4 linked regions of the Diceros bicornis minor genome follow. The protein of the gene in region 1 purifies or fractionates together with the protein of each later gene. This does not show direct contact. Links are inferred from orthologs where the notes say so. Each region holds a gene or a part of one and is shown on either strand. Other genes may lie near its edges. The genes, in order: MTMR2, SBF1, MTMR10 and MTMR12.

Evidence for each region.
Region 2: the proteins of MTMR2 (region 1) and SBF1 purify together in Homo sapiens (affinity purification with mass spectrometry; 6 studies listed by BioGRID and IntAct, with this or other methods). This does not show direct contact. The link is inferred for Diceros bicornis minor from reciprocal best matches to the Homo sapiens genes MTMR2 and SBF1.
Region 3: the proteins of MTMR2 (region 1) and MTMR10 purify together in Homo sapiens (affinity purification with mass spectrometry; 5 studies listed by BioGRID and IntAct, with this or other methods). This does not show direct contact. The link is inferred for Diceros bicornis minor from reciprocal best matches to the Homo sapiens genes MTMR2 and MTMR10.
Region 4: the proteins of MTMR2 (region 1) and MTMR12 purify together in Homo sapiens (affinity purification with mass spectrometry; 5 studies listed by BioGRID and IntAct, with this or other methods). This does not show direct contact. The link is inferred for Diceros bicornis minor from reciprocal best matches to the Homo sapiens genes MTMR2 and MTMR12.

The regions. Positions count from the first base shown.
Region 1 is NC_080746.1:38,064,840-38,072,658, forward strand, and holds the start of MTMR2 (myotubularin-related protein 2), read left to right. Parts: upstream 1-4,611; 5' UTR 4,612-4,986; coding exon 4,987-5,066; intron 5,067-7,819. UniProt on the Homo sapiens protein: Lipid phosphatase that specifically dephosphorylates the D-3 position of phosphatidylinositol 3-phosphate and phosphatidylinositol 3,5-bisphosphate, generating phosphatidylinositol and phosphatidylinositol 5-phosphate.
Region 2 is NC_080764.1:330,084-338,310, forward strand, and holds the start of SBF1 (myotubularin-related protein 5), read left to right. Parts: upstream 1-5,001; 5' UTR 5,002-5,108; coding exon 5,109-5,163; intron 5,164-8,227. Other genes in the region: protein ADM2, read right to left, coding at 149-240. UniProt on the Homo sapiens protein: Acts as an adapter for the phosphatase MTMR2 to regulate MTMR2 catalytic activity and subcellular location. Promotes the exchange of GDP to GTP, converting inactive GDP-bound Rab proteins into their active GTP-bound form.
Region 3 is NC_080744.1:78,608,972-78,616,441, forward strand, and holds the start of MTMR10 (myotubularin-related protein 10), read left to right. Parts: upstream 1-4,415; 5' UTR 4,416-4,684; coding exon 4,685-4,744; intron 4,745-5,337; coding exon 5,338-5,398; intron 5,399-7,470.
Region 4 is NC_080759.1:35,993,873-36,001,285, reverse strand, and holds the start of MTMR12 (myotubularin-related protein 12), read right to left. Parts: upstream 3,131-7,413; 5' UTR 3,040-3,130; coding exon 2,959-3,039; intron 1-2,958. UniProt on the Homo sapiens protein: Acts as an adapter for the myotubularin-related phosphatases. Regulates phosphatase MTM1 protein stability and possibly its intracellular location. By stabilizing MTM1 protein levels, required for skeletal muscle maintenance but not for myogenesis.

The sequences.
Region 1 (7,819 bases):
TCCTTGTATTTATCCTGTTTTGTGTTTGCTGAGCATCTTGAATCTGTAAATTTATGCTGTTGGTCAAATTTGGTAAGTTTTTGGCTATAGTATCTTTCTCTGCCTAGTTTTTTCTACTTATTCTGGGACTTCAATTATCTGTATATCAGACCTTTTGATATTGTCCTACACGTACATCCCTTGGACTGTTAATATTTTTTCAATCTCTTTTCTCTTTTTCATATTGGATAATTTCTATTGATTTATCTTCTAGTTTCTGACATTTTTCTCTGTTAAATCCATTCTGCCATTAGGCTCAGCCAGTGAATCTTTTTATTTCAGGTACTGTATTTTTCCTAAAATTTCCATTTGTATCTTTTTAATGTATTTGATTCCTCTGCTGGGTTTTACTATCTTTTCATTGATTACAGTGTTTTCCTTTACTTCATTGAACATAGTTATATTAGCTGCTTTGAGATTACTGTCTGATAATTCCAACACCTGTGTCATCTGGAATGTAGCCTTTCTTTGTTATCTTTTCCTTTGAGAATAGGTCCCATTTTTTTAGTACTTTTTTTTTTTGTGAGGAAGATTGGCCCTGAGCTAACATCTGCCAATCCTCCTCTTTTTGCTGAGGAAGACTGGCCCTGGGCTAACATCCATGCCCATCTTCCTCTACTTTATATGGGACGCCTCCACAGCATGGCTTGCCAAGCAGGGCATCGGTGCGCGCCTGGGATCCGAACCAGCGAACCTCGGGCCGCACAGCGGAGCGCGTGCACTTAACCGTTTGCGCCACTGTGCCGGCCCCTCTTAGTACTTTTTATGTCAAGTCATTATGAATTGTGTCTTTGGCATTACGAATATTGTTTTAGAGTCTCCGGATTCTGTTTTTTTCCTCTGCAAAGTATTGATGCTTTTGTTTAGCATGAAATTAATTTGGTGCGAAACAAACTGAAGATTTTGTCTTGCTTATAGTGGGTAACAACTCAAATCCTGCTTCAGTTCTATTATGTGGAAGAGCAGAAGAATATTCTATTTTTGGTTCTTTTATCTGAGCTGCATGCATTGTGCCTTTATATTATTCAAATCAAATTAGGGCTTAGTCAGAGACTATCTGAATTGACACAGAGTTTAGAGTTCCCCTCCTGGATTCTCTCTTTTGGAATTCCTGCCTCATTCTCTAGCTGCCTTGCACTCCCTTCTCTTGGTTCCTCAGGCCCGAGAGATGGTGGGCTTTCTATATGAGTTTTTGCCACTGTGCACTGCACCACAATCTTGGTCTGTCCATAGGTCAAAGCCACCAAAAATGGAAAACTCACTCTGTGTTGGTCACCTCCTGCACATTTTGACTCTGCATGCTTCTGTTCACTTCTTGACTCCTCAGGTAGTTGTTTTTTTGTATTTTGTCTAGTTCATAGTTGTTATCTGTGGAAAGGTCAGTCTGTTAGGAGCTTACTTCTCCATACTAGAAAAGGAACTCTCCAAACGAAAGTAATCAAAAAATTAAATTTTTGGATAGAAATAATTAATTATAAAGTTTATGTATGCTTGATCTTTCCAAGGATTATGTTTTTGGCATATGTGGTTTAAGAGAAGCAGAAGTATCCCTCTACTTGTCTATTCATAAGCCACCATTTTACTGTCTCAAGAGAAGTTTCCTTTTTCTGATTCAGATTATCTAGTAAACAGCCTCTGACAAGCTGATAGGCAACAAACCTATAGATCCAAATCAGTGCCACTCAAATTGTGTCCACTAACCAGTGTCTTACATGAACTATGTGTTGCCTGTCTATAATGAGATGAGGACAGAATTGAGAATGTGTGTTTACAAACTTTCATGCAACTTTTAGAGTAATTTTATATCTGTTAAATATAAGAAAAAAAATGTGGCCTTGTATTTGCATGCCTTTGGTTTTTCTTAAACTTCATTTTTCTAGTAATTAATTTTTATATTTTAAAAAAGTATTGGTTGGTGATAGCTTGGAAATTAAAAACAAAAACACTGGTTCTTCCCATTGATAATTTGACAAACATTAGCCTAGATTTCAAATAAGAAAATAACTTGGAAAGGTCTCAAGTTAATCATTTAATAGGAGAGATGAGCCTAGACTGTAATTTAAATATAGCAATAGTTCCTGAATGACCTGGGATGGGCTAAAATGTTTTTTTAAAAGATGAGAAAACTGACGTACAGAAAGTCCTAATCAAGTTGATTTCTCTTGGGTATACAACATAGCAGCCAATATGTCAGCAAAGAATTCAGTACTAATTTAGCTTTGAGCTGAGATTAAAATAGTCTTTGCTTGTTCACTCTGAGAAGTTCCTGTTTTACTATTTAGGTTAGAAGTAAAGCAGTAAGCTCAGAGGAAGAACAAATAATAATAGCAACAGACCCATTTACTAAGAGCCTACTGTGCAATCAACTCAGAGTAGAGAAAAACAACCCTTTATGTGGATTATATTTTTATTCCCATTTTGGAGATGAGAAAACTGAGTCTTGGAGAAGCAACTTAATCTAAATCATAGAGCAAGTAAGCGACAGAACCAGGATTCCAATTCAGACATCTGGTTTCAAAGTCGCTACACTTAACATTACTGTTCTTTATTAAGCCCCAAATAGACCCACACAAATTATTATACCATCAGGCATGTGGTTTCAAGTGCTCTACTAAGACAGCGCTAGAAATGAACTGGGTAATAGCAAGTACGTGGGTCTCCCATTCAAGGATTCATCAGTCTTCACTAAACTTAACTTGGAAAATCTATGTCAAAGTATCAGGTAGCAGTCAGCATTTTGGAAGGCAGGTAAGGATGGGGAAGCAATAAACAAATTCTTTTCCGAATCACTGTAGATGTGTATGCTTGTTAAGTGTTTCTATTTATTCTCTTTGCCTATCAGAGGATTGGGTCTCTTTAAAAATTACACAAATAAAAACCATTGTTTGCCATCCTGTCCTTACCAAGCTGGAGAATGGAAGAGAAAGGCTAAGCCTTTTGTGCTTAAACACACATTCATTCATTTTAAGAACTCTAGTTTATGCTGAACACAACTAAGCTGGGTTGTTCTTCTGGGGAGTGTACTTGCAAGTCAATATTTCACTGGCCCTATACCTTAAGATTTTCTTAAAGATATCAGTTGTCAGTATAAATTAAATCTAGTTTAAATCAACATAATTCTATTTATCCCAGCAAGAAAGTTTTTTAAAAATGATTCCTTGTCTAATTGTTTACAGAAATAATCTTTGCATAATTTTACACCCCATACTTCAGGTGCTTGGGATTCAGTCTTAATCAGAAAAATTTCTTTACGGCATCCTTTCTACGTCCTTCCTGTATCCTCTGTAACAGAAAATTACCAGCAGAAGCATTTCCCCTTCACCCAGTTCCTGTTCTCTTATCACAATTCTATCCCTCTACCCTCCCTTCCTGCTCTGCAGGAGAATTTGAGAGGGCAGGGAAAGATTGTTAAAAGTTTGCCCTCTATCCAACACCACTGCATCCAGTAGTCTGCGTGTCTACTTTTTTGCCTATTTATCAGTTCCCTCCCCTGTTTCCTCTTCCATACCTCTTTGTGTGGACCATGGATTAACGCCCAAGTGCTTTTACCCTATGGACACTTCCAGACCACAGTGACTTCAATCCAAGTCACAGTAGGACTGAAAGTTTCAGCTTGTTTTCTAGTGCCCTTTCTACAATGCTGGGCCAGGGGTGGAATGAAAATAAAAATGATGAGCATTAATTTTTTTCCCTACCTGTCCTATACTTTCCCCATTACCCTTCCCATACCAATCATTCCTTACTTCTCTGCCACCCTTCCTATGTCTTCCGCTCCCACAGCTACCCTTTATTGAAGTTGTTAGAAACTGTTATATACATCAGTCCATTCCATCCTAAGAACTCTTACGACGTAGGCAGTAATGCTAATAGCTACATTTGAGTGCTTACTATGTGCCAAGCATCGCTTTAACCATTTTACATGTATTAACTCATCTGATCTGTGAAGCTATTATTCCTCTTCCTATTTTACAGATAAGGAAGTTGATGTTTTCAATGCCCTGTGTTAAACTGGGAGTAACTGGCAGAGATTTGCTGTATTTTTTTTTTGCAGGAGAAGATTCGCCCTAAGCTAACATCCGTTGCCAATCTTCCTCCTTTTTTTTCCCCTCTCTCCCCTGCCCGCCTCAAAGCTGCAGTACATAGTTATATATTCTGGTTCTTCCACGTGAGTAACGGCCACAGCATGGCTACAGACAGTCTGAACCGGGACACCAAAGCGGTGGGCGCCGAACTTAACCGCTAAGCCATCAAGGCCGGCTCCAGAGGCAGGATTTGAATCCATGTCTGACTGGCTCTAAAGCAGCCTTTAATCATTACTTAATTAATATTTATTGAATCAGTATTTTCAGCCCCTAATCTGGTGAACACTTTGCGATCTCATCTCCCATATCCTCATCCTTTACGTGCCCCTAAATTCTCTTCCTCCCTTCGTGACGCACCGCCCCCTCACGTCCCTTCTGCCCCTTCATCCTACTGTTCGCCCACATTCCTTTATTACCCTGCGCTCTCACTTTCCTTGACCCCCACATTCCGGTCTCCATCGTCTCCGTCCCTCAGCTCCTCGTCTCTTTCTTCTCTTACTCCTCTCTCATATCTAAAATTTCCCCTCCTTCCACACGTCCCTCGTCCCTCGTCCCTCCCGCCTCATAAGACCCTCTCACGCCGGGAACCGTCACCTCCCTTTCCCAGCGCCCAGAGGCCGAGCAGCGGGACGCAGCGCGCACAGCGCGCCGGGGCGGGCGTCTGAGGGGCGACGCGGGGTCCCCCCGCTCCCCGGCAGCCCCGGGCGCGGTGCAGTCTGGGGGAACATGGCCGCTTCCGGTCTCCCTGCCGGGCCGGCACTGGCCTGAGCGCGGCTCCTGCCCGGCGCACTCCGCCCTCCGCTCCTCCCGCCCCGCAGCCGCGGAGGTCGCTTCAGCCTCTCCCTCCCGCTGCCCCCGCCGCGCCATGGAGAAGAGCTCGAGCTGCGAGAGTCTTGGCTCCCAGCCGGCGGCAGCACGGCCGCCCAGCGTGGATTCTCTGTCCAGGTAACCAGGACACCTAGGGCCCCGCCCAGCGTCCGAGGGGGATGGAGAGGGGTCGGGGGCCCACTGGATGGTGCCCCCACTCGCGGACTCTGGTTCCAAAGGCTGCGCCGGAATTCTTTCCCTGGGACTTGAAAGCTACTTCTTCCTCGCAGGGGCTTAGAGGCTGGGAAAAAGAAGGTTAAAACTCACTACTACTTTATCGCCTCCTCTACCTTTCGTATTGAGATATTATTTTATCCCCATTGAGGTAGCCCCAGTTCATTACTTTCTCTTATCTTTCGTTCCCTCTTAAATCATTTTTTGGACAGCCCTTCCCCCACTCTCCCCCTTCCCCCATTTCCTCCCTGTCTTTCTCTCTACCACTCTTTTCAAAACCATCCTCTAGTCTTGCTTCCATCCATGCTTGTGTCTTTGCCTTTTGGATTCTTGCCCACCCTGACTTCTCTTTTTCATCACTTCACTTCCATAAAGGAAATCGTTCAAGATTTTCCCTACACTCTGATTCGGCCCACCACCAACTTTGCTTAAAAATGTATATAAAAATACACACTGTGCGTTTCTTTTCTAGATCTTTCAGTTGAAAGTCATTATCTAGGAATCTCAGTAGTCTTTATCTCCGAGTGCATAGTGAATCATGAGTGGTAGTTTTCTTCCTTCTTGAGTTACCGGTTCTCCAGGTTATTTCTCTTGTAGCAGATGGGATTTTTTTCCTGGAAATTTGAGGAGGACTTTAGTATGCAGCATCGCAGAGAGCTGTTGTAAATATTAACTAGACATGTTTTAGATGCAGTTTTTTTCTTTGGTTTTAAAATAATGATTTAAAATTTTATTAAGGAATAATAGAAGACCTGTAACTGTTATATAGCAACAATGAAATCACGTTCTTTTCCTCTGAAAAAGTCTAATTTTTATTAGTGAGTTATTAGATACTACGCTGTGGTGCGAAAACACACACAATTTTCATTTTTTCCCCTGAATAAAAGTTGCACTGTCTCCTTTAATTAATTTTGGACTCCACTAAATATGGGTGATACTGCCAATTTTTCCTATTACTGTTCAGTAGGGAACAGCAATCCCTATTTGGGATTCATTAGCTGATGGGAAATCATTAGCTGATGCCATCAATCTAAATTAGATTCTTTTCCTATATGCACTCATAGCAACCTGCCCACCCCCTTTTCAGAGTCCTTAACAAGCACAGTATAATTGTTGATTTGTCTTCTCTACTAGGCTATAAGCTACTTGAGGACAAGGACTGTATCTTACTCATCTTCATATCCTCAGCATTTAACAGAGACCCTGCATGTCAGAGGTGCTCAATAGTGTTATTTTGAATTTGTAGGTTGAATTATCCAGGAGAGAAGAATTTTTCTTTGAATTTGATTATGTATATTGTACATTTGTTTCAAGTATTTTTTGAATTTTGTGTTTATTACTCTGAAATTTAGAAAGCTGAGGATTTACATAGCTGTAAAATCATTCAGAAAACACGTTGGAAAATTATAATTTTATGAGAAAGTTACAAATGCCAGCTATGGTTCAGAGTAGAATGTAAAGAAAACAAATGAGGCAACCAATATTCTCATCCAAGCGAGAAGATTTAGAACCACAGGAGGCAGCACAGTCTGCTAGAAAGAAGAAAGTACTGGAAGTCAGGAGGCTCAGGTTCTCAAGTCCCTGGATCAGCTAGCCATTTGGCCTGTATCATTTAACGTTTCTAGTCTGCTGTTTTCTCATCTTTTAAAATAAAGGGGTTGATCTGGAAAATCTGTAACGCACCTTGGAGCTCTAAAATTCTATCGTTCTTTATCTTAATGACTATACTTACTAAGATGAATGCATTCTTATCAATTACTAAAATATTACCTTTACAAATAACCTTTGTTATAGATTTTTGAAGTTACACTAAATAAATGTTATCATTACAAATTAATGTACCTAATTGTTGCACTTAAGCACATTTATTTTCTAAAAAAGACAATGTCCCGCAACTTTAAAGTTTATATATGTATTTTAACTTCTTAGTAAAAAATTATGTTATTGACATGTGAATTTGAGAAAATTAAGAACTTGAATTTTGACTACAGTATGTTAGTTTCAGCCTCTCTAGACAAAAATGTAGGTATGATTCTCTCCTTTCCACAGGAGAATGCCAGCTTTCATTCCTCTCCTCTGGAAGGTAGAAAAATAACATTTATTGAATGTCTGCTGTAAAGAATTTACCATGCTAAATTCTTTCATATCTTTTATTTCATGAATTATTACACCTGTTTATGGCACTGTCTTTAATCAACAGTATAGAATAGCTGCATTGTAGACACTTGTTAGAAAGCTTAAATTTAAACTTAATGTAGCCTAACAATCACAGGTGATTCTAATAACAGGCCAGGTGTAATACACAACCATGGTTATAATAGCTACGTTAAGTGGCTATCTAGATTAAGTTTCTACTTTTGTTTTGTTAGCCTATGATAAAGCAAAATACTGTGTTTGAACTATATTATCTCAGCTTTTTGCAGAAATATCCCCCTTAAATTGTAGTTTATTTTCGTGCTTTCTGTTTTATACAATTAGGAAATTTTCAATTTTCATTTAGGAAATTGCCTTGTGAATTTGTTTTGATAGTGCCTGCAAAATAATAGTTAACAATACTGTTCAGTGTGTTACGGATTGTCTTTTACACATTAGATTGACATAAATTTCTGCTGAGTTTAGCTTCAAGGAAAATTATTTATGCAAAAAAATTATGTATG
Region 2 (8,227 bases), on another chromosome or scaffold:
TCTTTGATTTCGGAGGTAAGCACTAGCAGCAGGCGGGAGGCCCGGGGGTGGGGGGCCTGGGGAGGGCTGCGGGCAGAGGGGACCTCCCTGGGCATTCTGGTCTTCTGCCTTGCAGGCCAGGGGTCAGGCTGGTCTGAGCCCCACTCACCTCGGTCTGGCGGGCCGCCGGGACAGCGTGCCCGGGAGCTGCAGGTAGAGGAGGCTGATGCAACCGAGGGTGACGGTCAGGAGCCGGGCCATGGCGGGCGGGGCTGGAGGGGGCGTGAGCCGGCAGGTGTGGGGCGGCCCTAGCCCAAGCCACCTTTCTGCCCTCACCTTGGGGAGCCCTCCGCGGTGGGCGCCGCGCGCAGGTTGTACCTGCGTCCTTCGGGGTGCGGGGCGCGGGCGAGAAGCGGGCGAGAGTCTGCGGACTGTGGGCCAGGCGGGCGAGGGCGAGGCCTCCGCGGTCAGATCGCTGTCGGGGTCCAACTGGGGATGGAGCCTCGGCTCCACCGAGCTAAATAGTCCCTCCTGAGGAGGCGGGGCCGACGCGCGGCTGGGCGGGGCGCCCTCCCCGGCCCCCAACCCAGCCCTGCCGCGGGTGGACTGCAGCCCGGCCGGCTGCACGGCGCTCCGCTGAGGTTCAGTGTCCCGCGTCCTGGGGGCCCCAACCTGTCCGGGTGAGGGGGTGGGTGCTGGGGGCTGTAGCAGCCGGGCGGTCCCGCCTGCCACCTCTCTGACCCGCAAATGTCGGCCCGGGGCCCTGGCCAGTATCTCTTCTGGGGAGGGTTCCTCACGAGGCGATCTCGAGACCCCTCCTCAAGATCCCCTAGCAGCTGTATTCCTAAGCATCTCTACCTTTTTTCTCCCATTATCGGAGTATAAATGGTTTTTGTAAGAAATTTAAATAAGTAAAAAGTGAGACCCCGCATTGCCTCTCCCAGATCTGCGCGGGCGCCGCGTTCCTGTCTCCCGTGTACGCTGGAGACACGCGAGGGGCGTCCTGTGTGTGTACTGCATGTATTACATAAACACATATATGCTTATATAGGTAAGAATCTACGTAATCATAGAGCCCTCCATTCTTTCTTATGCTTGGCTGACTCCAGTATGTAAGTGTTTTGTGACTGACTTAATTGATCCTTTATTAATGAGCAATTAGGCGATTTCCAGCCTTCCAAGAGTAAGAACCCGTCTGCTGTGAGCTCGCAGATGTCTCTCTACAGGATACTTTCCCAGAAGTGGAAATTCTGGTTGAGGGTGAGCCTGTGTTTGTGTCAACAGGTAGTGTCAAATTGTTCTCCACAAAGCTTGCACCAATCCACTGTCAGCGGATGACAGACTTCGTGTCAGTAGTTCCTTGCTTCTTTGTCAATCTGAGAGGGGACAGTTATCCTGTCGCCCCACTTAGTGGACATTTCCTGGATCATCTGGGCATCTCTGTGTCCATTTGTATTTCCTCTTCTGCCTAACCCTGCCCAGTCTTGCTCCCTCTGTCAGGTCATCCCGGGTGACCTGGCCACTCTCCTGTCGCACACGCCATGGGAGCTCAATAAACATTTGCTGGATGAATAAATCAACAAGTGTTGAAAGCATGCCATACTCAAGAGCTTGGTTTACATCCTGAGGAAGGTGGGGAAGCATTGGCAGATACTCCTGTTTCTGTTTGTTTATTTATTTTTACCAGTGGGGGGAGGAGGGAGAGTGACGTGACCACATTTATATCAGAAAAGTGGGGTTCAGGAGGGAGGGGATGCTGCGGGGCTGGCAGGAGGCGTGCCATGGGGACAGAGTGGACGGCTCAGAGGGAAACTGAGCTGGGTAGGGAGGCAGAGCAGGGTCAGCCCTTCTGTTTGCTGATGCAAGGAGCTGCTGGAGAGAGCCAGGAGGGGTTGGCTGCCTGGGGGACATCCTGGCAGAGGTGTCTGGCCAGGTTCCAGCCTCGTGGGCCTGCGGCTGAAGAGATGGCAGACTTGGAACACAGTTTTGGGAGTTTCAGAGATGGCAAGGCTCTGGGAGGCGAGAGGTGAGGTGAGCACCGCCCACAGAGTGCAGAGAGAGGAAAGAACCCACATGCCAGGTCTGAAGGAACAAGTAGGGCAGGGGGTGCGCAGAGGACACAGAGGCAGGACCGATTCTGCAGCTGCTTCTCCTCTCTCCAGCCTCCCTACACCTCCCCTCAATCTGTCTTCCACACTGCTGCCAGTGCCACGTTCCAAAACACAAATGTGATCATGTTACTCACGCCACCAATAAAGGAAAAATAAATCAAAATTCCCTGTGTCCATGAGGTTTTTAATCCGGGACACGTGGAGGTGAGCCTCAGGGAGCCTCAGGGAGGTTCGAGGCCCGTGGCTCACTACATTCTTTCTTTCGGAACACTTGCTGCCACCGTGGGCCTGTGGTCCCACCTCCCTGGTTGCCCGTGGGCGGGATGTCCTCTGGTCCTCAGGCTTAAGCCTGGCTGCTTATTTTGCCCCTGCCCCTCCTGACTGGATTAGGGGCCCCCTCTGTGGTCCCACAGGCCCCTGAACAGCACCTCTCGTGGCGCTTGTCTGTAACTGTCCATGTACCCTTCAAGGGGAAACTCAAGGATTTCCTTCATGTATCTTCAGTTGGAGAAGCTGCTTCTAGGTGGTGATGGGCTGGCTGCCGGGAACGGCTCACAAGAAATAGACCAGAGGTTGGCTGGTGAGAGGGACCAGGCCACAGGAGGCAGGCGGTGCTGGTGATGTTGGAGGAATGCTTTAGAGAAATCCTTGTGGGGCAAGAAAAGCTAGGTGTCAACTGGTGGGGCAAACAGCATCCAGGGAGGTTTTGCTTGAGTGTTTTAAGGTGGGAGTAGTTGAGTTTTCTTTTTTTGTGTGTGTGAGAAAGATCAGCCCTGAGCTAACATCCATGCTAATCCTCCTCTTTTTGCTGAGGAAGACTGGCTCTGAGCTAACATCTATTGCCAATCCTCCTCCTTTTTTTCCCCAAAGCCCCAGTAGATAGTTGTGTGTCATAGTTGCACATCCTTCTAGTTGCTGTATGTGAGACCCTGCCTCAGCATGGCCGGAGAAGGGGTGCGTCGGTGCGCGCCTGGGATCTGAACCCCAGGCCACCAGTAGCGGAGCGCATGCACTTAACCTCTAAGCCATGAGGCCAGCCCGGAGAGGTTGAGTTTAATCCTGATGGCAAGGGTCCCTCAATAGGGAAAGAGTGAGGATGGGGGTGTTGATAGGAAACAGCAAGAGGTGGGGAGGAGGTCGGGCGGGGCGGAGCCTCGATGGTAATTGTGGAGGGAGGAGGTAGAGTGTGAGGGAGGTGGGCTTGGAGTTTGGTGGTGCAACACGAGGCCTTCCATTGGATGGCTTCTGTTTTCTCTGTGAAGCTGTGGGGTCATCTCTGAGACACAGGAGGTGGGGTCAGAGGTTAGAGGATACTGCAGACGGGAGGAGAGCTGACCAGACGTCAGCAGGCTGGGTGGTGAGGGGAGCTTCCATCTCGGTTTGCCTGATGAGAACACTGAAAACAAAGCCAGAGAGGTGGGGGCCGACGACATGGGCTGGATGACAGGCGATGGGAGCCACGATGGGTGGGGGTAAAAGGACAGAAGGAGGAAGCCAAGAGGCCAGGGGACCCAGGAGAGTCATTCACTGCTGGGAGGAGAGGAGGCACTGGGAGTGGCACAGTCCCCAGAAGGGGAGGAAGCAGGTAGGTGTGAGCACCTCGGAGGGTGACCTGGGCAGTGTAGTGGGCAGGGAACTCAATGGCAAGAAACTCGAGTGGGGGCTATCATGGTCTAGAAGGGATCCCAAACCTCCCCTTGACCCTAAGGCACTTCCAGAGAGCTGCAAGGAATGGGATCCTTAGGGCATGAGGGTGGGGGAGGTGGGGTGCAGGGTCCCCACAGTTTCTGGGGGAGAGCCAGTCCTGGGCTCAGGTGCCAGGCCAGAGGACTGGCCAGGGACACTGCCGGCCCATGCTCAAGCTCAATGGTGTGGTAATGCGGCGGGGAGGACCTTTCGGGTGTAAGTGATAGAAACCAACCCAGGACACCAGGGGCAAAAAGGAAGGTTTCTCAGCCTGTGTACCCAGCAGCCAATAGAAGCAGAGGAGGCTGTGGCTAGGCCTGCCCCCGGGGGCAGGGAGGGGAGCCTGGCAAGGTCTCTCCCTCAGCTTTTGTCTCTGGGTTCAGTTTCATTCATTCTCTTGGGCTGGCTCCTGCAAGGGGACGGAACATGGCTGTCAGCAGTTTGTTTCTTCGTCGGTTCTTGCAGCAGCCAAACTCTAAACACAAACCCAACCCTGCCACCCTCCCTCCCAGCATGTCAGTGGGGCAACCTGAGGCTCCTCCACCTCCCAAGCTCCTCTCCTAGGTGTTCTGTCTCAGGCTCTGTGTCCCCTTTGCCCATCCCTGTGCCACTGCAGGGGAGGCCCTGGCCGGCGCTGTCCTTGAGGGTGGGCATTGTCAGGGATCCTGCCTTCTCCCAAGCAGCGCACCAGGGCTCTTTACAGCGGGACATGCAGCGCGCCTTTTTTCATGGACATGTGTTGAATGTGTCACCCACCTAGATGGGGCTTCCAAGCGTGCTGGGAACCCCAAGGGCAGGGCCTGGGTAGTCCCCCATCGCCAAGCTGGCAGCCCTGAGTTTGGAGACCCGAGGGCAGGGCCGGGCCCTCTTGCCTTCCTCCAGACTGACAGCGCTAGGGGAGAGCCCAGGGCCCCGCCCCGACCGCTCTGCGCCCGCGCGTGGGAGCCCCGAGCTCGAGGCCAGCTCCGACCGCGGCCGTGCCTGTCGCTGACCCGTCCGGGCCGCCGTCGCTGTCACCTCCCTGGGGGCGGCGCCCCGGCCCGGAGCGGGAGGAGATGGGCGGGGCCCCGCCCCCGGGAAGCGAGCCCGGGCCGCTGGACCAATGGGTGCGGGCCGTCCCGGGCCCCGCCCACGGGGAGGGTGGGGCGGTGCCGCGCAGGCGCACGGCGCGGCCGGGCGGGCCGGCTGGCTGGGAAGATGGCGGCGGGAGCCCTGGCCACGGCGGAGGAGCGGGCCCGGGGTGTCCGGGGTGCGCGGGCCGGGGCCAGGGTCGGGCCATGAGCGCCCCACCCTCGCGTCGCCGAGCCGCGAAGCCCGCCCGCGCCCCTCGCCATGGCGCGGCTCGCGGACTACTTCGTGCTGGTGGCGTTCGGGCCGCACCCGCGCGGTGAGTGCCAGCCCGCGGCGGTGGCTGAGAGCTGAGAGCTGAGGGCCGGGCCCGGGGACCGGGAAGGGTCCGCCGGCCAGCGCAAGGGTCGTCCGGGCACCTGGCGGCCCGGGGTCGGGGTCAGGGCGGCCCGTGGTCGGAGTCGGGGGTCGGGGCGGCCCGGGGTCGGGGTCGGGGCGGCCTGCCCGAGGTGGACAGGGCGGGGAGACAGGGCGGGCCGAGCCTCCCCGCCACACTCAGGGCCGAACCGGGTCTGGCAGCTCCTTGGCATCGGCCTGGGAGGTGGGAGGGCCCTGGGCGGCTCGGCCTCCGGACTCCCAGTTTGGTGGGATGGGCTCTCGCCGCCTTGGCCGACTGCCGGGTGCCTCTGCCTCCAGGGGCACCATCGTTCGTGCACGCCCCTCCTCTGACCCCCAGTACCTCTGTCTGAAGCCTCAGGCCCCGTGCGGGGCGTCTGGGGTCCAGGAGGCTTGGTGGGATGCAGAAGAAGGAGGGGATTGAGGAACTGCTTTACGAAGAGGTAGTGTTTGAGCTGGAACTCGGAGGACTTCAGGAGGAAATGTGGGGAGGAGAGAGAAGAAGAGCATTCCTGGCAGAGGGCCTGCCGTCCTCATGCCTGCAAGCCAGTGTGGTGACTGGTGCCGATGTCCAGGAGGTCCTGTCTAGGGTCAGCGCCTGTGTCTGAGAGCCCCTTCAACCCAGGGGGTAGGAGAGAACGGAGCTTGACAATGACATCAGCAACAGTCGTGGAGACAGCAGTGTTGAGGAGTGTGCTCACTGTGCCAGGCCCTGCACAGCCCTGTGTGTGCACGGTCTCCCTTCTTCCTCCCAGCAGCCCGCCGAGGTTTGCCTGCTATTGCCTGCATCCGTGGAGCGGAGTCAGGGCAGAGAGGTTGACTGCCTGGTTTGAGCCCCCACAGAGGGGCCAGGATTCACACCCAGGCTAACCCAGAGCCAAGATCTGGGCTCAAATCCCAACTGCAAGGGGGCAGTGGGTGTCAGTGGTAGAGGTGAGGGTGGCTGTGTGGTCAGGCTAGGGGTGAACCTTGAGCCTGAAGGAAGGGTGAGCCCCCCAGTCTACCCTGCTTCTTGTCAGCCCAGCCGCCACTGTCACCATCCAGGACCCGGACTTTTTCTCTTTGCCTTTTTTCTTGCTGAGCCTCCACCTGCTGGGCCCTGTACACTCCAGACCCTCCTCAGTGCCCTCTCACTCAGTACTTGTTCCTCCTCTCTGCTCTCGTCTGTCCGAGCATCCATCCCTGGACACTCTCAGTCGTAAGTGTATCTTTCCCTCCAGAAAAGTCGTTCTTGCGGGCAAGGACCAGTCGTCTTCATCCCCCAGTCTGCACGGGGCAGGCTCACTGTCAGTGTTGTGCAGGCCCGTGGAGGGAAAGCTGTCGGCTCCAAGGCACGTGTTGGGGGGCAGTGAGGAGGCCATGCCACCTGGAGCAGAGGGGCGCACGGGGTCCAGGGAAACAAGGCTGACGGAGGGGCTGCCCCAGTGTGAGGGCCCCTGGGGGGCATGAGCACAGCGGGCTTGGAGGCTGATGATGCTGAGGGCAGTTTGGGGAGGGTCTGAGGAGGCAGAGGCCAGCTGAGAGGCGTGCTGATGGTACTGACAGTAGGAGTGGGGAGTTGAGGGTGAATGTGAGGTAAGTGAGAGGGGGCATGGGTGGGCTCCATGACAAGCTGCCTGTGCCATGTGTGTGCTTTCTGCTAGAGCCACATGTATGGTGGATACCCCAGGGTGTGTGGCCTCTGAGCAGGACGGGGGAGAAGGCTGGAGCCCGCAGTGCCTGCTCACCCTGAGTGGTGGGAAGGAGTGATTCCCAAGCTGTCTGCTGCTACAGGAGTAGGGGGCCATGGAGCCACCTAACCACTGCTTTCCAGGGTTGGAGCTGGTCAGCTGTGGGCTGGCCACCCAGCCTCAGGGCCTTCCTTGGCAGGACTCGTCCATCCCTGTGATGAACAATTCCTCAGGCTGGCGCCCTGGCCGTGGGGCTGAGGGCAGAGCCAGGTGGTGGGGGGAAGCCTGAAGAAGAGGAGCACCGGTAGTGGGGGCGTGGTGGGCAGCTAGCGGTTCCTGCTTTGCCGCTTGATAGCTCTGTGGCCTTGGGCCAGTCTTTCAGCTCTCTGCGCCTTGGTTTCCTCATCTGGAGATGGATGAGTCCCACAGCCCTCCCGTGCTGGGCACAGACACAGTGGGGGACCCCTGCATGCTGGCAGGCCTAGGATATCAGAGCAGGGATGCGGGGTCTTTCGGGTTCGGTGGCGGGGGTAGGAGTGGTGGATGTCTTGTCGTCCTTGGCCTGGATCTGGACATCCTGTCCGGAGCTGCTGGATGCAGGGCCTGAGTGCAGAGTCCTGCCTGAGGGAGCGTCCAGTTTCGTGGTTACTACCTGGTGGGTCTTGCCCGGCAGGAGGGTGGGGAGGGGGCCGGGCGGGACTTACCTCATCTCAGAGGATGCAGGCCCTTCCCGGGTGAGTAGGGGGAGCTCCTTCACTAGGGATATGGGGTTAGCACCTTCTGCACCCTGGGTCGGGCCCTGGGGACATTGCAGGGGCCAGACAGACTACCCGTGCCTAGCTCCTGGCCCTGGAGGGCCCTGACAGTGGTCAGCTGATTTAACACAGCATGGCCAGTGCCAGGGTGTGTCTTCAGGAGGGAGAGATGCACTTGACCTGACCAGGCGGCTGAGTGCATGTCTGCCGGGGGAGAGGCTGGACGCCTCCATGCTGGAGTCACCCCCTTGCCTCTCCAGCGTCTGAGGAGAAGACCTTCCATGCCTGGCCTGGCCTCGCTCAGTCCTGACTGTGCTGAGCTGGCCACATTCCTGGGCCCTGTCTACTCTCCCCACCCTTGTCTCTGCCCTCCTTCTGGAGCAGGTTGGGGCTGTTTGAGATGGCCTCAGCTTGCTCCCAGTCCCCACCCTGGGGAGCCCGAAGGGTCCAAGGCCTTGGGTCAGAGCCAGTCTGGTCTGATTGGGGGGAGGTTGGGGAGGACCACTCGAGAGGCTGCAGTCCCTCTGCACGTCTTGTCCTGGTGGCTGGCTGGGGATGGCCT
Region 3 (7,470 bases), on another chromosome or scaffold:
TCTCTCTGATCTTTTTTTAATCTCTCTTCATTGATTTTTAAAATTTTCCTCCTTTTCATCTTCCACTTCTCTTCAGGCAACAACAAATGTATTTACTCACCCTTGGGTTTATTTTAGCTTGGTCTTTATTTCTGAAATAATTTTTTCTCTTCTTTCTAATTCTATCCTGAGTTTGTTCATTTCCTTTTGAGTGTTGCTAATTCTGGTTTACATAGTTCGTTCATATCATTCTCTTAGTGTCTCTTCAATAGTGGCTGTCAGCTTTGATCTGCTCAGGGGACATGTCTTTCTGCTGTGCTTTTATTGTCTGTAGAAGTGCCATTCTATTCTTATTCTCTTTTTCATTATAGTAGTCTTCTATGGATTTGACTTCCATACTTTCCTGTTGCTTATTTTTACATGAAATTGGTTTTCTGGAACTTTTTGAAGGAGGCAATTTTCAGGATTGCTTTTCTAACTTCACAGAGAACCTCTTCTGTTTTTCTAGTGTAGTAGTAAAATTTTTTAAGTCAGCTTACTTTTGGAGATTTTCTGGTCCTCCAGTTTTCTCTAGACCTTCTTTTTCCTCTGTCTCTATTTGGCTCAATTTTGTTTCCATGCCCAGCGATTGTTCTCAGTGTGGGCCCCTTAAGGAAGCCCTGGTAGGTCAGTTTCAAGAGTTCCCACAGCTATGTTGTTCCAGTCCCTTCAGGGCATACAAGGAGCCCCTTGCAGGCTCATGCTACTGGAGATGACAAACACCCCTCCCTATTTCACCTGCTGTTCTCAACCTGACCGGCTGGGCCTTCCAGTGGAAACCTTCTGGCTATTCTGGAGTTCTCCAGCTGCCTCACTGATTCCCTGTGCTGATACCACAGGTCTTGTGACTGCTATGGGACTTTGCTCCCACTTGCCTACGTATTGGAGATCATGGGGATACTGTTTCACTTAGATTTGTTGTAGATGTTGTGCAGGGGTTTCTGGTTTTACTTTATAGTTGCTTTCTCTGTGTTTATGTTGAGACTGAACAATTATGCTGCTGCTGTCATCTTCCCAGAATCTCCCCCCAAGATACAGATTTTTTAAATTGCTTAATAGTCCCAGGCAATGGCAGAGTTTTGTAGACATTATACATAACCACTCTAACCTCCTCCACTTTCACCACCGGCAGCTTCTTTTGTCTGGACTATTCTAATAGCCCCGACTAGTCTCCCAGCGTCCACCCTGCTGTACCACTGCAGCAGTGGCAGTGATTATTTTAAATTGTCAGTTAGATCGTGTCATTCTCAGCTCAAAATGTTGCAAAAGCTTCTTAACTTTCAGGCCCTATGTGATCTGGCCTGTTCTTTCTCTCTGACCTCCTCTCACACTGGATTAGGCTGCTTTCACCCACTGGCCTCAAACACACCAGATAGGCTCTCACCTCAGGGCATTTGCACTGCTATCCCCTCTGACCACAATGCTCTTCCTCCTGATTTCCAGCTGACTCCCTTTGGCCTCTGTTCAAATGTCACCTTATCAGAAAGGCCTTCCATGACCACACCCCACCTCCCATCAAAAAATAGAACTCTCATCCTTCTCGTGTTTTATTTTGGCACTTGTTACCATTTCACATGTTATACATTAATTTTTCTATATCTTTCTACCCATAATGAAAATGCCAGGAAAGTAGGAACTTTGTCTTCTTAGTGGTCTGGATCGTTTTAGCACAAAGTTAGCACTCAATACAAATTTGGTAACTGAATGAACGAATATATAATGTACCTAGCACCTAATAGGCATTCAAGAAATGTTAGCTCTTTTTTTTCTTTTCACAGGGAAAAGGAAATGATCCATAGGGAATGTCACTATCCTCCATGAGAGAAGAACCAATAATGGAAACAGAGTCAGAAAAATAGGAGGAAAACAAAATAGTGCCAAAAGAAGGGAATAGTCAACTATTCCATAAATACAGAGTGTCAAGAAGATCAGGATGAGAAGAAGCTACAAGACTAGTGTTATGGACTGCACTGTGTCCTCCCAAAATTTGTATGTTGAAGCTCTCACCCCCAACATGACTGTATTTGGAGATAGGGCCTCTACGAGGTAATTGAGGTTAAATGAGGTCATAGGATCCTAATCCCACAGGATTAGCACCCTTATAAGAAGAGACACCAGAGCACACTCTCTTTCTCCCTCCACCTGTGAAGACACAGCCACTGTCTGCAAGCCAGTCTGAGAGCTCCCATCAGAAATCTACCTTGCCTGTACCTTGATCTTGGACTTCCCAGGCCCCAGAACTGTGAGAAATAAATTTCCGTTGTTTAAGCCACCTAGTCTGTGATATTTTGCTATGGCAACCCAAGCAGACGAATACAGTTACATGTCTGAAAGTGTCATAATATTTAGGGTTACGTCAGTAACAAATCTAGAAATCAGAGTTTTTCTACTTTTCAACTGTATGGTCACATTAGCATTATAGATCCTAAGAAAACCTGTACAGCAAAACCCAAATCACATAGTAAGTCATTAAAGTATAAAGAAATATCCACATATTGCTTTTTTCCACTTGTGGAAAAAATCCATTTATTTTTCCGCAGTTTTATTGAGATACGATTGACATACACTACTGTATAAGTTTAAGGTGTACAGCATAACGGTTTGACTTACATGTATTGTGAAATGATTACCGTAATAAATTTATTTAGCCTCCCAAATATTGTATCTCTTATAGATACAATAAAAAAAGAAAGCAAAAAAAGAAAAAAAAGGTTTTTTTCCTTATGATGAGAGCTCTTAGGATTTACTCTCTTAACAACTTTCATATATATCATACAACAGTGTTAACTATAGTCATCATGCTGTATATTACATCCATAGCACTTATTTATCTTGTAACTAGAAGTTTGTACCTTTTGACCACCTTTCTCCAATCACCCACTGCCACCACCCCCTGCCCCCCGCCCCCTGCCCCATGTTAACCACAAATCTGATCTCTTTTTCTATGAGTTTTTTTTAAAAATCCATTTTATGTAGAGAAATCACAGACTATTCATAAAAATTTTAAAATGTATGTGCACAACAGCATTTTTAACACCTATAACCACCTAATGGACTTAACATTTTAAAAGCACAATTGTGGTTCCCTAGCAAAATAGAATCATGTGTCACTCAAACAAGTAAACCAGAAAGACCAGCAGCGTTCTGAATCCAGGATAAATTATTTTCAGGAAAAAAGCAATCTTTTGAATCTGTAAGTTTTTTGGTGTTTCCATTAGCAACACTTGTCAGTATGGTTGTGATTTGTATGGCCACATTGGAGCTTCCTTGTGACATTATTTATAAAATGCTAGGTTAGGGTTTTATTCTTCAAAGCATAAGAAGGATCTAGTCTCAACTAACAGATCACCAAAATGTAACGTCACTAATCCCCTTCCCCCAAAGGCTGCTCTAATTCAGAAATATGTTAAGAGTTCTGAAATGCCCTGTCCTTGATATGCTGAATTTCGTCTGTTCTTTGCAATTAATGGGCAGATTATTCGGTCCATAGGCTATTGAAGACTCCCTCGCGCCTCACCCCCCACCCCCCAGCGCTAGGGCCTTACTCTTGCTGGGCTTGGATCATTTATTTGCTCACTAGTATCTTTACATGTGAGGATGGGCAAGAAAAGAAAGGAAGGTAACTTGCTTAATATCTTTTTCACATTAAGTTTTAATAAGGAGGGTAGAAGTCATAAACTAAATTGAAGAGTCTGGATTGCCTGTCAATGTCATCCGTCAATAGTCCCCACAGCCCACGCAAGTCTCCGCATCCCGCGGAAATCAGCAGTCAGCTCAGCTGGTAGGACATCCCTGTCTCAAAGCTTTGCGGAAAAACAACAGACGAGGTGATGGAAGAAAATCTTCCCCAAATGTGGGACCTTTAAGGGGCTTTATCACATGCAGTACAAATCGTGCTGAACGTTTGATCCCGGTCACTGCTGGCTGCACCAGTCCACTCTCCCGGTGCCGGGCCCTCACACACTGGGCGCAGTGTGACTGGATGAGTCCGGGGCGCCAGAGTCCCCTTCTCCCCGCTCCGGGCTCCTCCTAACGACTTAAAACAGCAATGATCGCGCGAGCTGGGTAACTAACGAGCAGCAGTCCATGGAGCTGTCCCAGCCTGAGAAGAACCGCTGGGCAGTCGCTACACACAGTGCCCAGTGCCAGAGTGGCTGGCAGCCTCCCGCAGCCGCCGTGGCCCCCGCGGGCCGCCGTAGGTCCCCGCGGGCCGCCGTGAGCCCTGCTGGCCGCCGTAGACGCGCCCTCCCAAGGCTGAGCTCTCAAGATGGCTACCGGGCTGTGCTCCCTGCGGCGCCGTCGCTGAAGTCCCGGCAGCGAGAGCACCGCGCAAAGCCTTGCGTCCGGGCGCCAGCGCGGCCGAGCCGCCGAGCGGCCGGCCGCCGGCCCTGCGCGCGCTGTCGCTCGGGGCGGGGCGCCGAGCTCCTTCCGGGGATGGGCCCCGGCGCCCGAGTCGGCCCGACTCTGCTCCGGCTCCTCCCCGCTCGGGCGGGCGCTCCGCCGTGTCCCCGCCCGTCAGTCCGCCCGGCCCGGCTGGCCGCAGACGGGGCCTGGGCGGCCGCACGGAGAGCTCTGACTCCGCGGGCGTCGGGAGGCGTCAGCGCTGCCGCTAGCCCGTGGTGGGTCCCGGGTTGCGTCCCGGCCGGGGCGAAAAGGCGGCGGCACCATGTTCTCCCTCAAGCCTCCCAGACCCACGTTCAGGTCCTACCTCTTGCCGCCGCCCCAGGTAAACAACCCCCTCCCTGCGAGCGCCCCTCTCCTTGGTGTTTCCGGGGAGCCGCCGGGCCGGCCCCGGGGAGCAGGGGAACCCCGAGAGGCTACCCCGTCTCCCTGTCCCCAGCCGTGCGGTTGCCAGAGCCCCGGCGCGGGGAAACGCACCTTCTCGGGAGCCCCCACTGGCTCGGTAGAAACTTGTAAGACTGCCGCAGCCATTCTCTGCCTGAAGACCTACGGTGCTTAGTTTTGCCGCGTGATGAGACCCAAGGGAGCTGGATCGATTTAGCTCTTCGCCTCGCGGCGGTCCTCACTGTGACCGCCAGCGTGACTGCTTCGCTTGTGGGCACCTGGTAGAAGAGGTTACGTACCTGTCATAAATCTGAACACCTGGAAGCGGCATAGGCAGTTGTAATATTTTTATTGTCAGCCTCCCAAGTCGATAATGACCAGATCTTAAAAAGAGCTCGGTAAAAATGTGAAAGAATTTAAGTGGGGGGAATACGTGTCTGTCACATATATCGTCACTTAGAAAACAAAATTTGCTTTAGTATCTCATGGGAGGGAAAAGTTTTGATTTTGATTTATTTTGCTAATGTATTTCAGACTGACGATAAGATTGATTCGGAACCGAAGATTAAAAAATTGGAGCCAGTCCTTTTACCAGGTAAACAGATTTCTAACAGATACTTGAGTAACGAGTTTTGGTTTAAGATTATTCTACCGACCAGTACCATGTGGTTAACTTTTCTCTTTACTTTAAACTTTAGTAAAAAATGTAACGACTGAGGGGGCAAAAAAAGGTGGTTAGAACTAAACAACAGCATTAAAAAGTAATGATTAATTGGTGTATGTCCTTGAAAATTTAAGCATCATAGAAAACTGTCAAGAATATCTCTATCTCATTTCCTTTTTTGTCTCCTGAAATAGTCTTTTTAAAAGCTTTTTAAAAGTTCTTTTTTAATTGCTTAGGTAGTGAAAGTACTCTTTGCCCTTCATGTCTGTCTGCAACTTCATGCATTAATAATTAATAGTCAAACCATCATTTTATGAGGGAGGATGAAAAGCAACTTTTATTTTGTCTGTGTCTCTATACCAATAACAGAGCTTAGTGAACTTTGAATTACTTCCCAATTGTTTTTTGAAGTTGTCAGCTGTGTTTGCAAATTTACTTGTTTCAGTTTAGAATGGAGTTTCCCAGCAGAGCCACTACTGACATTTTGGACCTGATAATTCTTTGTTGTAGGGTGTTTAGTAGCACCTCTACTCACTAGATACCAGTAGTACCCCCTTCTCCATCTCCTAGTTGTGACCAAAATGTCTCCAGACGTTCCCAGAACTTTTTTTTTTTTTTTTTTTTGCGTTTGTGGCAAAATTTCCTCCCAGTGGAGAAGCACTGGTTTAGAACAACATTTACCTCAGAGGGCCTTAGAGGTAGAGGTGGGGATTGGGGGTAGATAGGAGTTTAGTTTTAAAACATATAAAAATATTATTTGACTGGTATTTTGAATTGTATAACAATTGTATAATAATTAGAAAAAGCCCGTTGTTTACTATGATTATTGGGGGAAGTAGCCAGATACTTAGGAAAGCCTGTTTTAAACCTGAAATATAATCAAATACCAGTTTGTATGGCTACTATCAATATTGTAAAGTATCAGTCATTACTTAATGCTTAATCTAGTAAAATGATCAGAACTTTATGGGTAGTAATTAAACAAATATAGAAACTTTAAATTTTGTGCTTTAAAATTTTAAGTATTAAGTAGGAACAGACACATTAAAAACATCAATCTGTGGTTCCATGTTATAGATGCTACTTAAAAGTTGTTTTAAACTCTATTATAGGAGTTAGGTATAAATATTTTCTCTTGATTTTTTTAATGCTTTTTACCCAATCAGTGTGTACGGAGTAATCCTTGTACTTTTCCTCAGAGTGAACAATAGAATTAATAAGTAACCTTTGCTCCCTGTGTGTGTCCTGTTTGAGTCTTAGTCACTGGAGGCATTTGAAAGTCAGCTGTGGGAAGCAGTGCTCATCTTGAATGAATGCCTGTGAGCTATTGAGCTTTGGCTTCCTTTACTTTGTCTGAACAAGCCTGTTCTTAGGCTTTGATTCTACACTTCTGATATTATGATTTGACACTAATAAACAACATGGTCTTTGCTACAAATGATAATGCTTGATTTTTTTAAATTAATTTTTATATTTAAAATATGCTTATGAAAAGTGTTACTAAATATCAATCAGCTTGAAGAACTTTACAATGAAGGATTATCTGTTCTGTAGAATTAACTAAAAACTTACCTTTCTACTAAAAATCAGAGGTTTCTGGGGAAGATGTAAACCCATTTCCTGAGCATAAGTGGTTTACTTGTACTAGAAATCACAGCTAAATCTGCATCTTCTGACCTGTGTTAAATTTCTTGCATTGGCTCTAAATTTGCATACATATGGCTTTGGCACCCCAAGTTCTATTTGCACCTGACCTGTTCCTTATAGAACATTTAACCAATCCTAAATTAGTGTGTCTTTTGCCTTCCTTCCTGACCCCTTCTGTTCTGACCTTCTTATCCTGGCTTTCCCACACTCTTCCTGGTTTCTTTCTGTCATGGTCTCTCTTTCCTGCTTCACCTCTCGTGTCGCATTTCTGACTACCACTAGAACCTCTGTTGCTTCTTTGGCCTGCAGCCTACTACTCTACCCATGAAATCTGGAAGACAAGTGGAAAGTAACTG
Region 4 (7,413 bases), on another chromosome or scaffold:
AAGCCGGGGTGGAGGTGCTAAGGTACCATCAGGTGGTACCAAGATAGGCCCAGATCTCTCCCTCCTGTTTACCTCAACTTCCAGAGCCATCAGCTTCCCACTTACTAGCTTTACCGATTTGTAACCCCCTGGGCAGAGTTCACAAAATATAACCCAAAGTCCTAAATTACAGTTCAGGATTTTAACTTTCACATTCACTGATTTAGGAGAATCAATGACAGAAGAGCCTTAAGTTACTCTGGCAGAGATCCAATTTTAAAAGGTGGAGTTAACTAGTACCCCTCCTTTTAGGCTGTCCAATGCCAGTTGCTTCTGATCGCAAGAAGGAAAATAAGCCATTATGTTGAAAAGCATCATTTTTAAATACTTTATCCAGTTAAGCGCTGCTGTTTTTAATACAAAGTGCTGACTCTTGATAGACTCTTTGGCATATTGAAGGCAGCTGCTGTTGAACCTGCCAAGATCTGATCAGCCAAGAACAAGATCATCAGCAGGCACAAGTACCGTAAGGCACATTGCACCGTAAGGCGTGAAGGTTGTTCTGGCAGCTCAGTGATCTACGAGGAAAAAGGTCGACGCCTGCAACTTCCCAGTTAACAAGAGAAAAGCGCCTACAAAAAAGTGATAGGAAGACATACAGCACAGGCAGTAAAGATGAAGACAATATGTGGGGGCTGGCCCCGGCCCGGTGGCTTAGCAGTTAAGTGCGTGCGCTCCGCTGCTGGTGGCCCGGGTTCGGATCCCGGGCGCGCAGGGAGGCACCGCTTCTCCGGCCACGCTGAGGCCGCGTCCCACATACAGCAACTAGAAGGATGTGCAGCTGTGACATAGAACTATCTACTGGGGCTTTGGAGGGAAAATAAATAAAATCAATTAGAAAGAGAAAGTAATTGCAGAAATTATATATAAAAAAAGACAATATGAGGGATAGGAATAGAATGACAGTCTTCAGAAAAGTGTTCTGAGGGACTCCTCCTGAATGAGCCCAGAAGTTTACCAGACCCAGTGCTCTCAGATGCACAGAAGCTACGCCTCAAAGCTGCTCACATGCGTTTCCAATAACGTGATCACTAGCAAAAGCTATATATTTAAAAACAGACTTTCTCACCCCCTTGGTCCCTTATCTTTTAAAAACCATTCACAATTCAGGTCAGAGTCTTATCCTCTTACAAAATATTTTTAGAGACAGATTACAACAAAGAAGCATAGTGTCTACACAGCATTATTTTATTGCAAGCAAACAAAACTGCCAACTATAAGGATCTGAAAAATCTGACCATTTCGAGCTTATTCTGGGGCTGAACCACTCCCCTTCCCTAATTATCCCTCAAAGGAAATATATCAGGAGCTGTGGGCAAAGAGAGAAAACATGTCTAATTACAACATGTGCACTTGGTGGATGAAAAATTTGAACATTCTTGAACTCTGGCCACATTTCAGAGGACTTTCCACTTGTAGTTTAATCACACTGAAAAGTTTAAAGTTCAGTTGTACTTCAACCAGGGCTCAATAAAAAAAAATACAAAGAGAAACGGACCACATTACTTACCCGTAATACTATAAGGGAAGTCTGCTGAAAATTCAAGATGACCCTGACTCCTTATCAAGCATTTACAGAGTAAGCAGTTTTTATTTTAAAATTAAGACCCATTTCAAGAGTAGTCTGCAGTGGAGAAAACACACACATTTTGAATTTGAAAATACATGTGCAAAGCCTTCAGGTGGCTTACAGAAGCAGTCCCTGATCAAGACCTTTCATCCACAGCCCATTTGCTGGTGCTTTACCCAGATGGGAAGACACCCTAAAACAACGAGTTTGGTAGTGCTTCTGCACGTTGCTGATTAAAGCACTGGAGAGAGGAGCAGAAAAAACCTTCAGGAATCGGAAATGAGAACACTCTAATTAGGCATTTGGATTGGGAGCTATCGCTCAAGAAGCCCTCAGCATGACCTACAGGTTGGAACCTCTCCCCTCACCCCGTGAGCAGCTTCTGCAGGGCTGGCTTCCTTGATGCTCCTCCAACACTCCAGACTCTTCCCTCAGATCCCAAGCATCCTTCAAGTCTTGGCTCAAACCACCGTTGCAAGGAGGAAAAAGGTGCCTTTTCTTTTCCCACGATACTCATCACCTAGTACACCATGTAACTTACTTACATCTATTTCATCTATTATTCACTCCTTTCTCCCTCAAATAAGTTCCAGGAGAGCAGGGATCTTTGTTCACTGATGTATATCCCAAGCGTTTACAACAGTGCCTGGCACAGAGTAGGAGCTCAAAAAATATTTTCTGAATGAATGAATGAACCTGACAGTAAAACTCCGAGAGGAAAGGAAGAGGCGGTGGAAAGGGTGATGGTGAGGGGCTGAAATGAAAGGGGGAAGAAGCGACAGAGGGGAATTCACAAGGGAGAGGTAGAGGCTGGCTGAGGCTGGGCCCGACCCACAGTTTCTCCCTGCAGAGCCGATGGGCGGCGGGCGGCGCTGCGCGGTACCCCGCCAGCGGCATCGAACAGCACTCTTAGAAGCAGGCAGCCGAGACCGGCGAGCTCTGAAGACTCGCTGAGAAACTCCAGGGGCAGGGCAGACCCACCCGGGCGGCGGGCTCTGGGCAGGCCCCCATGGGGGTCCGGACCCCCCAGCCCTTCCCCTCCCGCGGTGCCCAGAACCCCAGCTTCACTCCAACGTGGTCAGCGGCGTCCCCGGCCGCGGCACCTTCCCGGCTCGGGCCCCCTCACCTGGTCGCCAGCGAGCCGGGCCCTGCGCTCCAGCACCTGCCTGCCCGCCCGGGGGTCCCCACCCCGGCCCGCGGGGAGGCCCAGAGCGCCCCTACGGGCCCCACCCGGCCCGGCTCCCCTCCTGCACACGGCCAGGAAGAGCTCGCGGCCCTCCCCGCGGCGGGGAAGGGGCAACCGGCGCCCCTCGCCCCGGCCGCTCCAGCCCGACGCCCGGCCCGCTCACCTCGGGGCGTACGTACGACACGAAGGAGGGCTTGGGCGCCTTGGTGCCGCCGCCACCGCCCACTACCCCTTTCCCCAGCATACCGCCGCTCTGGGAAGCAGCGACGCGCGGGAGCAGAGGGGGCCACTCGGGCTCCGGCAGCAGCGGCGGCCACCAGCACTAGCGGCTGGGGCTCCGCCCATCCCCAGGGCCGCGGCGGCCACGGCGCCGCCCGCATCCGGCTCCGTCGCTGACACCGTTCGCCCCGCCCCGTGGCCACGCCCACTACGCGCAGCGGCCGAGAGAGCCGGGAGCCGGCGTCTGGAGGCCACGCCCCCTCCGTTCTCGACAGGCGTGTCTGAGCGGCGGAGACTCGCCCTCGGAGATAGGCTCCACACCACCCTCCTGCCGCAAAGCCCGCCCCCATGCATTCTCTGATTGGCCAGAAGGCGCGGCCAGCCGAGCCCCACGCCAAATCCCCTCTTGAACGAACCCGGACAGATGTTTCCTCTAACCAATCGAGAGAGCGTTCTCTCCGGACTCCCCGGCGATTGGATAGCAAGAATGTCGCCGTCATCCAGTGATCCTGCGGTCACTAAGTTGTGACCTGTGGTTCACTGCACTCCTCTTCTCGTTCTTTATCGATTTGTAATAAAACTTCCAAAAGTGTGGTGTATCCAATCTCGCTGTATGAGTTACAAATCCACACAATGACGTTCGGGTTTATTATATTAAATGGAGATACAAATGAGACAAACCAAGTGTTAACAGGGATTTAGCAATAGGTTTGAATGTTTATAAAAGGCCTTGTCGACTTCATTTTCCCGAACTGTTGTTTGTTTGTTTCTAACAGAATATCAAAAGCCCTAAAAAGATTTTTTATCCACTCTCCCAAGTTATCGATAAAACCTTCGCTTTTAGTGAAGATTGCAAAGACAATTTTTTAAAATTCTTTGTTTAAATTATTTAAACATTTGGCGTCAAGCATTGTGTTAGACGCAGGTGAATAAGACAGGACTCCGCTCTGAAGAAATTCAATCTAGTGGAAAAAACTAAGTATTTGCAGTTAATTTTTTCGGTGTCAGACACTGTGCTAAGCATTAGCTTCATCAGTGACTAATGCTCTCACTGTCTCCATTTCCATGAGCCCCGCCACCCGAAGTCACTCCAGATAAACATAAAATCTAAATGAAAACAAATGTGCTTACTTTTGCAACCACAGCTTCAGGACAAGTCCTGTAGCCTCATTTCTAACTAGACTGCCATTGTTAAGCCTATCTAGCATAGCCGCGCTGGAGCTGCCACTGAGTGAATCCCAGTTTTCACGTCAGAAAACAGATGCAAGGAATTTGCCCAGGTCTCACAGCCAGTCACTCACAGAGCTGGGATTCCAGCCCAAGTTTGTCTGATTCCAAAGCTGAAGTTCTTAACATTATAATTATACAAATTAGGAAGGAGCACAATGAAAAAGTGGTCAATTCTGTTTGGGAAGGCCAAGTCAAGCTTCAGAAAGATAGACACTCCTTACAGAGGTGTTGAAGAATGAAGTTATTTGTCGGGACTAATAATATCACCTTATATTTAACAGCAATTTTACTTCTCAAAGTGAAATGGCAGGGCAGATTCTTATAGTCTGAGCAAATTTTTACTTTCTTACTTTTCAAAGGACTTTGAATTTCCATGATCTTCCGCCATAGGCAGTATATGAGAGTGGATACCTCTGGCCAGGGCTGGCTTCTCAGGCATGCAGCTAGAGCAGTCACGGAGGGCCCGTACTGAGAAGGGCTTGGGGTTTAATGCTCTGCTGTTGCAGCCTTGAAAATCTTAATCATTTTATCTTTGAATTTGTGTTTTTTAAGTGAAGTTTGAGGGGCTGATGGAGCAAGCCCAGGGGTCTTGGAGCCTCAGCTCCTGCCAGTCTCACCTCCCATCCTCTCCCCACCTCCTCTCAGGTGCCCAGTCCCCTGGCACCCTGGCCCTCCCCAGCAAATCCCAGGACTGCGGCCAGCCTCTGTCGGGGCAGCAACTGTACCTCATTGCTGGGAAGGGGTGAGGGCAAGTCTCATATTCTGCCATCGCCATCCACCCTTTGCCCACATGGGTGCCTGGGCACTGACTAGGAGATGATCAGAGTCAGGCACAGCCCCCCAACCCCTTCCTGTGTCTCTGGGTAGGGTAGGCAGCCATCCCTACCCTAGGCTGGCAGCGCCATGGCAACTAGCCAAGGCCTCTTGTCCACCCCTGTGCAAATATCCAATGTGGCCAGGTGCAGAGGCTCCAATCCCTTGGGGGACGCCCATTCACTGTGGGAAGGGGATTTGACTTCCCTGCCCCCAGCCAGGACCCCACATTTTCATTTTGCACTGGGCCCTGCAAATTATGTAGCCATCCCTGCCTATGCCCTTTATTATCTCTGTGTGCTTGAGCAAGTTACTTCATCTCTCTGTGCCTCTGTTTGTATCTAGGATGATAGTAATAGCAATAATAATTATCTCAAGGTGGGTGGGGATTGCTATGAAGAGTAAATGTCATCCAGGTGATGCCTGGTAAGGAGCAAGAAATAAATAGGTGATGGCTGTCCTTAGTACAATCCCACCAAGCAGGACATAATTTACCCCTTTTGGGGACTATAGAAAGAGAAGCAAAGTGACTTCTCCCAATAACCAGCTGAGGGACTTTGTTTAACAAAGAGGTTTTTTTTTCTTTGCTTATTTGTTTTTGTTTTTAACTTCTGGCCCAATCCTTGGACTAGAAATAATGGCTTTTATTTATAATTCACCACACCAAATTTCCCTCTCTTCAAACCATCCTGTATTATAATAATTACTTTATCCTGCTCTTCAGTATCCATTTGTGGTTAAGTTGGTTTGCATTGCGATGATTCTGGAAACTTGACACAACCACTGCATCCATACACTCTCAGAAAACTCTGGCAAGGAAGTGAGACAGGTTTTTAAAGACTGAATGGCCAGCTGCTTCCAGGGGCAGTTTTGACTCAGTGATGAAAATCCACACTTTCAGGCCGGCCCCGTGGCTTAGCGGTTAAGTGCGCTCGCTCCGCTGCTGGCGGCCTGGGTTCAGATCCCGGGCGCGCACTGACGCACCGCTTCTCTGGCCACGCTGAGGCCGCGTCCCACATACAGCAACTAGAAGGATGTGCAGCTATGACATACAACAATCTACTGGGGCTTTGGGAGGAAAAAATAAATAAATAAAATCTTTTAAAAAAAAAAAAGAAAATCCACACTTTCTTTAAGGAGCAGTAAGGAATGAGGACGAAGAATAAGCTAACATCTGTTTCTATCTTGCTCTTAAGAATCTCCAGCTATCATCATATTTTTACTTGATCTTCAGAGTGTAGGTCAAATCTCCTTGGGAGAGTCTCTCCCAACTGATTGAAAAATTCCTGTCATGCTGAGGTCAAATAATTCTCCATCTATTAATAAACACAGATGGTAGCCCTTAGACTTTGGAATATTTTAATTTACACATAATAGTTTTAAGGTCACTCCTTTCTTCTAACATCGCCCTACGCTTTCTTGGAGAATTATAAATAGGAACAAATCTTAGCTCACACAGAAATGAGTGCCAGACCAAAGGCAGCGTCGTTTCCTCCCACAGACAACTGAAACCCACAGCACACTCCCAGATGGGGGAAGCATTGTCCTCATGCTGATAGTTAGGCCTAGCTATTTAGATTTCCTCCTCTTTGAAGTCGCTTGAAGCAGCCTACTTGTATGCGTTGCTCATCTCGTTCTTTTTTTTTTGGTGAGGAAGATTGTCCCTGAGCTAACATCTGTGTCAATCTTCCTCTGCTTTGCATGTGGGATGCCACCACAGCATGGCTTGACGAGCAGTGTGTAGCTCCACACCCGGGATCTGAACCCATGAACCCCAGCCATTGAAGTGGAGTGCGTGAACTTAACCACTGTGCCACCGGGCCAGGCCCCATGTGTTGCTCATCTTTATCTAATAGATGCCAGGTGCATAGTAGGAATTCAATAAATATTTGCACCTGAATGAATGGGGATTAAATGAAAAGCAGTCTGGGCATCGATTGATTAGTAAGCAGGAGAAGCATCCAGGTTAGAGCCTGCACTTTTTTTGTGTGTGTGTGATGAAGATTAGCCCTGAGCTAACATCTGCCAATCCTCCTCTTTTTGCTGAGGACGACTGGCCCTGGGCTAACATCCGTGTCCATCTTCCTCTACTTTATATGGGATGCCACCACAGCGTGGCCTGACAAGCAGTGCATGGGTGTGTGCCCGGGATCTGAACCCGGGCCACCAGCAGTGGAGCACACGCACTTAACTGCTATGCCACGGGGCGGCCCTAGAGCCTGCACTTTTACATCACTCAGATACAAAGCAGGACCTGATTTGAAAATGAATAAATAATATGCATAATATATTATATAATAATAATAAATATAATTATATAAACATATATATGAAATATTCAAGGACTAAAATGCAA